Kluyveromyces lactis: one gene and its partner. The protein of the gene in region 2 binds, or shares a complex with, the protein of the main gene of each other region. Links are inferred from orthologs where the notes say so. Each region holds a gene or a part of one and is shown on either strand. Other genes may lie near its edges.

Region 1 (2,708 bases), on a different chromosome or scaffold from region 2:
TCGATTAAGTAGGATAGTTTACGTGTTACGCGCGTTGGTGGGAAGTGTAAACAACCGGCGAACCTCATTTGGTGTTCTCGAGTGAATAAGGGCTTCCAATAGTCGAGTGCGTGATGACGGGTGCAGTATCCACAGAAGATACGATGCCTTCGACAAAACAAGAGGAAAAAACAGACGTAGAACAGGGTGCTAGGTGTGTGAATTGCGGCAAACTGGACAGAATTAGACTCGGTTGTTGTTGTTTGTTACTATTTAATGGAAGACTACGTGATACCGCCAGTTAGTAAGGAGGAGAGACCATCATACTGATTTGGTAATCTGGAAATTTCCTATGGTCACGTGATACGATACCAATGCCTTTACCCAAGGCGAAGGCGAAGGCCACTAGAACTGTGGGGCAGTACTTGGTCCAATGGAAACAATTCTTCCTATGTATCCATCATTACTAGCAATTGTAACAGAAACATTTCACTTCTTCGTTGTTCTCACTTTTGTAACTACATTTCATCTTTTAATGTAAACTTTGTGATGCAATTCATGAATTGAAGATTCACAAGTTCGAATATATTTTGATCATTAGCAGATTATTTCATTAGATTGATAGGGACATACATATAACATTATTTACAAGCGAGTAATATGGGTGACAGGATATTCCCTGGAGATTATATTTCTATTCTTGAGAATGTAGTGGAGGAAAGAAATTTGTTAGCGCCTTCTGCCTCTGATAAGGAGGCCGATGGTGGTTGCGCCGATGGCGATTCCTGCACTGATCAAGGCAATCCCTTTTAATCCCTGAGAAGTGATCTTGTTTTCTACAGCGGTTTGTAGCATCAATGCTTGTTTGTTTTCAGGTTCATGATGCACTAGTGCATCCACGTACCGCTTTGCAGTAGAGTATTCGCCGAGTTTGTAACATCCGATGGTCAAATAGTATAAGCACTCTCTTCTTCTCATTGGAGATTCTTTGTATATGTCCGTCAATAACTTAACACCCAACATCTGATCTTCCTTATTCGTCGATCTGACGAGACCCCAGGCGTAATTGAAGCGTGATTGAATAGATGATATTTCGCCCCCTTCATTGAGCACCTGTTGCCTTAAAATTTCGATTTGATCGCTGTTTAATGCAGAATATGAATCCTCCAATTCAGGAAGGTAGTGGATGTTAGTCATACCGCAGTATTTTTTTGAGCTTGTGCGAGTGATTTCAAGATAAAGAAATAACTGCTACCTTCGATCGTTTCAGATGTTGTTAATGATATTGTTTCAAATTCAATGTCAAATTATCAGTTTTAACTTTTCAATTTATTTTTCTTACGTCCGCTAGACATCTCGAAAACGTTTTGATTATATACAAATATATACAGAAAGTCATCTCTGAGAATTGGTACAGAGGCATCGCAATAAGATCAGCAATTGAAGTTCCGTTCCAAATATCAACACTGATAATTGCGGTAATTTATCCGTTGGTTCATTTTTGTCCAGAAAACTTACACTAGAAACATGGAAGATACAACAAAATTGAATACTTCTAAGTTGGGAACTAAGGAATACTGGGACGATTTCTACTCATTAGAGAAACAAAACTTCGAGGAGAACCCTGAGGATACTGGAGAATGCTGGTTCGCTGATAACGATGCAGAGGAGAAAATGGTCGAATTTCTACTAGATAACTTGGGCGAATACAATATCAAAGAAGACAGCTCAATGATTGATCTCGGAACTGGAAATGGTCATCTTTTGTTCACTCTATTGGAGGAAGGTTTCAAAGGTGAAATGATCGGTGTAGATTACTCTGAAAAATCAGTCGAGTTTGCTGCTGAGATTCTCAAGACTAAATACAGCCAAAATGATAACGTAACTTTTGCTACGGCAGATATATTCAATGAACAATGGGCCCCAGGTAAATTCGATGTCGTTCTAGATAAAGGTACACTAGATGCCATCGCATTAAGCGGTATAAAATTTGAAAACAATGAAACCGTGGTAGATGTCTATCCGAAAGTGATAGAGAAGATATTAGGCGAAAACAGTATTCTGTTGATTACATCATGCAATTTTACAGAAGAGGAACTCATAAAGATTATTGAAACAGAGACGTTGAAAAAATGGAAATCGGTAAACTATCCAATATTTGAGTTCGGTGGTGTCAAAGGAACTACAATATGCAGCGTTGCCTTTCTCAAATCTTCTGCTAAATAATCTTAATTAAGGTATTATTCAAAAGGTTTTAAGTAGTGTCAATTTTACAAAGTCTGTTTGAATCAGAAGTAATATGTCCAATTCAATTCTCCAGGATATGAGCATTTACTTTCTCATATAACTCATCTGCTATTTCAGCTTTTCCTGTCCTTAAGGCATACTGGACAGGATTCTTGTTCTCATCAACTGCTAATATTCTGACGAACTTTTCTCCGTTCAGAGAACCTGGGAACCCTTTTTTAATAGAAAATCCTTTTACAAGCGGTAGATTCAATATTACTTTCAATAACCCACGGGATCTCATTACTATTCTCGACTTTTCTGAAACTTCATCTTTATTTAAATGTAGAACACCAATTCCTCTTTCCTTCCAACCATCCTTTATATCGGTAAGCTGATACAGCTTGGCATTTGTTTGGAAGATCGATTCTTCTGTCTCTTCGCCCGATTTGACGTCTTGTTTCGTTAATTTTACTGTTGGCTCTCTTGATTGGGCTGGAGTA
Region 2 (4,116 bases):
CAACAGTAATATTGGAAAACAAACGAAACAAAAAGAGGGCCAAACTAGAGTGCGTCTTAGTAATTGGTGACAACCAGGTCCACTTTATATAGAAACAACAGAGAGTAAGACGGTCTCTACAGAAGATAATATTTGAGTTGCACCGGTATATTTAGTGACGGCGGCGGTTAACGCTTTTTTTTCCTCTCTGAAACGTCGTTGAACGCTGAAACATGCGCGTAGCAACTTCGAGATGCTGTTTTGCATGAACATGGACGTCTTTAACATCTTGAATAATTTGTATACCGTTGTAAAGCCATATATTGCAAGTGATTATTCTAATATAATCTCTTTATGAGACGGTATCTACATTATAGTGTGGACATTCTCAACTAATAATCACGAAATTGGTTGTGTGGCCGAGCGGTCTAAGGCGCCTGATTCAAGATACCTATCTTAACCAACCTTACAGTTGGGAACACTCAGGTATCGTAAGATGCAAGAGTTCGAATCTCTTCGCAACCATTTCTTTTTTGTTAAATCTTAGATTTTTTTGGCTTGGAAGCATGTCTTGTTAGTGGCTTGTAGCTAGAAACATTCTACTGCACGCGAAAATAACTAGCAAGGTATTATGAGGATGGTCTTTTTATACTAGTGAGTTATATACAAGTGATCACCTACATTGTATGCTAATTATTTTTCTATTTAATTTATGGGGAATAGTGAAGAATATTTATTATTTTTGAAGTAATGTGCCAGATGACGGCAAATGTCATAACTCTCATTTCAGCTGAAACAATTTTGTAGGTCTAAATTGCCCAGGTGTTGATGTCACCATTCGAGCGCCCTTCTACCAAATATCCGTGTTTGTATCTAACAAAATCCACGTTACCTTGTTCAGGATCATCTTCGCCGCAGAACCAGTGGTTACCGTCTTTCCTGTTGTAAATTTTCACAGTAGGCTCATTGTTTGAAATTACAATCTTATCCAGATCGAAATGTAGAGAAGTGATCGGTTGCTCATATGCAAATACGTCAGAAAGTATACCAGTTCTTAAGTCCCATATTCTTATACTTCTGTCCATTGCACCTGTAACTAGATTGACCGAGTCGAACTGAAGGGAGGTGATGGCGTCAGTATGACCTTCTAACATACGTACTACTTTCCCGGATCTTAAATCCCAAAGCCTTACGATACCATCTTTAGTACCTGTCGCCAAGGCAGCATCGAAGCATTGTAAAGCTCCAATAGCCGGCGGTTCCTTGGTTAGAAGTACACTATTACGAAGAGGGATGTTTCTTTGAGACCGCATAGGGCCAGTTGCGAAAGATATATCTATGGTTTGGGTGCACTTACCACTATTCAGATCCCATTGACGTACTGTCCTATCCTGAGAACCAGAAACCAAATTGTCACCGTCAAAACTTATTGCGGTGATTTCATCAACATGAGAATCAAAGGTATATAAACATGCATCATTATCTTCAGATGAATTTGACGCTTCATCAGCCATGGCCTTATCGATATCCCACAATTTCAGAACTGCGTCCCGACCACCAGTAATCAGGGTGCTATATTGATCAATTTGCATGCAACTGATAGATGCTAAGTGTCCATGCAATGTAGCAATTTGTTTTTTTTTACTTAAATCCCATACTTTTACCGAGTGATCTAGACTGCCAGCAGAGCACATAGTACCAAATGGCATATCAAAATCTAGGCAAGTGATATCTTCATCATGGGCCTTAGGAAGGCTTGTAATCTTAGATCCGGAATCATAGAACTGTTGTAAAGTTGGATAAGTTTTACGGCGGCGATTACGGTGAGAAACACCAACATCTTTAATTTTTTTGGAAGTACTATGTTTCTTCCTTTCGGAAATATCCGATTTCTTCTCGTGGTCTTGTAGCTGCTGATAGATGGATTTGGAAAGCAATGGAGAGTGCTCTTCTTCTTTGTTTTCTAAAGGAGTGGTAGCCGCAGTTTCATATGTTTCGTTAGTTTCTCCAGTTTTAGGCGAAAGTTCAGATAATCCATTTATATTTTCTTCATCCTCCGATGAGTATTCTTTATCCATGTTGTACTCTATAATCATATCGATTCTATCCTTAACGTTGTTCAAATGCTTCTCCAAAAACAATTCATGCTGCTCAATTTTAGCCACTCGCTTGAATACTAGTTCACGCATCATTTTTAACTTTTCCAGCTTGATATCTAGCTCTCTTATTTCGCTAGCTGCTAGATTTTTCTGGATTTCAAGTAAATCCAGGTTATCGGTGATTGACCTCGAGGCATCCTTCAAGAAGGATGCGGAGTAAGAATGCAGAAGTTTATCAGCTTTTAAATGGTCTGGCAAACTAAACTCTTCCTCTTGTTCTTCTTCTTCAGCGTAAACTGGGATGGACTCAGAGTCTGTTAAGGGTTTCATATCGCTATTCATTATAAGTTTTTGCTGTAGTTCTATCGTTTCATTAATAACAGGTAAAGATGCTTCAAATCCTTGAAATAACGTCGGTTCTTGCTTTTTTGACTTTGCAGATCTTTTCTCGCCATTTTCTGTTATCATGTTCTTGTTCTGAGGTATAGTGTCTCGTGGGGCGTCTTCAAGTAGATCATCACTCAAGTAACTTAAAACTTTGAATGTTGTTTTTGGATCACTATAAGAGTTTTTAAAGAACTCTTTGCTATTGGAATATATATCTTGGAAACCTGTATTCTTGCCTTTAGATAATTTCACGTCGTGGCGTACTTTAACTAGTGATGATCCCCCACCTGCATTAGTAATTGTCTCATGAAGCAATTTCTTATATGGACTACTGTATGAAAGAATTGTGTCTTCCATCGGCTGCGACGAGAATAGAACAGACGCCGTGGTAGACAGTGCCTTTCCCAGATTGGCAAACTGGTCTCCCGTATTAGAACTCATAGTTCTGGCACCACTAACACTCTTATCGAGGCTTTTGCTCGCAACATATGTTTCTTTAAGATTTGAAGTTGTAATAGGAACTAACAACTCTTTGTTTCCATGTATCTACTTTTTTGTACTCTGAAATTAGAACTTTCATTGCAGCAATAAAATCATATGAAAGAACGAAAACCGTATTCTCTGTAGAAGAGCAAGATGCCGTAGAAATGGAACTACGATATATTTCGTTATCATAAAATTAGAACCTTAATAATACAAAAATGATATATACTGAACTGAAACTTACATGAATATTTCCATTCCAGTGCGAGATTAATTCCCGAAGTGTGAAATATATCTTTCCACTTCATTTCGGCAAGCATATCGGTTTTTCTTGGATATAACTTATTAATGTATCAAATGGATTTTTAGTACCGCTGCTAGATTTCACTTATTTCTCCCTTCCAAAAGGTCCAACTGTTTCTCGAGCTTCTGTATTTCTTTCTCCTCTTTATCGATGAGAGATGATATTGACGTTTTTTCCGGTAACGCTTCGTGTTGGAAGTCTAACTCCTGGATCTCTACTTTCTTCTGAAGTTCATTAATATCAGCTTGTAATCCATTGTATATTTGCATTAGTTTTTCAAATTTCTCCTTGTATTCAGTGAGAGGCCATTGATCTATAATTTCCCGGAACACAGATAATATAATCGAGATTGGGAAATCTTCTACGAAAAGAGTTTTCCTTCTTGATACATCCTCGCCAGTTATCACACTTCCATTCCGCAATGCATGAAGAAATTGCTTGATTTGTTCGTCCTTGCTGAATTTTTTCAATAGCACGTCGTAGATTCCCAGCTCATCGCTGTTACTTCCTTCGAAGATAAAATCTCTTGCAGGTTTCTGTTTCTTTCGGATGACATGATCGTTTTGACTGAGATAAAACCCCTTCGGTATGTAGGTAATAGGTCTTGGATCTGGTAAACATAGTGCTCTGTTCCGTTTCAAAGTTGCTTCCCTCTCCAAGAGATGATCGTATATCCCTACTTTCCCATCCTTACGCTTCATATTTCCATCGTTATCTGTACTGTATAATGACATTTCTTCAATTGAATCGCCATCTCTTATAAGCTTTACTATAAGATCTGAGTACACTTTGCTGTTGCCTGGTACAATCGCATTTCTAAAGATGCCTGGCGGTTTGAAATATAAGGTCGATATTGACTCCGCG

What was found.
Region 1: the proteins of KLLA0_F21406g (region 2) and FIS1 are in contact, whole or in part, in a crystal structure (PDB 3UUX), measured with the Saccharomyces cerevisiae proteins. The link is inferred for Kluyveromyces lactis from reciprocal best matches to the Saccharomyces cerevisiae genes MDV1 and FIS1. Residues at the interface, in NP_012423.1 of Saccharomyces cerevisiae: Asn95, Lys96, Phe99, Arg100, Leu102, Thr103, Tyr104, Ile105, Ser106, Asp108, Leu109, Asn111, Glu112, Ile113, Pro114, Glu145, Thr146, Ser147, Leu148, Phe149, Gln150, Gly151, Phe152, Lys153, Tyr155, Leu156, Ala159, Gln243, Ser246, Ser249; in NP_012199.3 of Saccharomyces cerevisiae: Val4, Asp5, Phe6, Pro8, Asp12, Glu15, Leu17, Gln21, Ile24, Leu25, Gln28, Ala37, Thr38, Ile39, Gln40, Ser41, Phe43, Asn44, Trp47, Lys51, Arg59, Val62, Lys63, Thr66, Tyr69, Lys70, Ala72, Glu73, Ser74, Arg75.

Annotation. Positions count from the first base shown.
Region 1 is NC_006039.1:696,580-699,287, forward strand, and holds FIS1 (Fis1p), read right to left. Parts: upstream 1,177-2,708; coding exon 709-1,176; downstream 1-708. Other genes in the region: EFM4 (Efm4p), read left to right, coding at 1,507-2,205; YRB2 (Yrb2p), read right to left, coding at 2,288-2,708. UniProt on the Saccharomyces cerevisiae protein: Has a role in mitochondrial fission. Has a role in outer membrane fission but not matrix separation. Required for targeting MDV1 to the mitochondria.
Region 2 is NC_006042.1:1,995,472-1,999,587, forward strand, and holds KLLA0_F21406g (WD repeat MDV1/CAF4 family protein), read right to left. Parts: upstream 2,907-4,116; coding exon 789-2,906; downstream 1-788. Other genes in the region: SPC34 (Spc34p), read right to left, coding at 3,333-4,116. UniProt on the Saccharomyces cerevisiae protein: Involved in mitochondrial fission. Has a partially redundant function to CAF4 in acting as an adapter protein, binding to FIS1 on the mitochondrial outer membrane and recruiting the dynamin-like GTPase DNM1 to form mitochondrial fission complexes.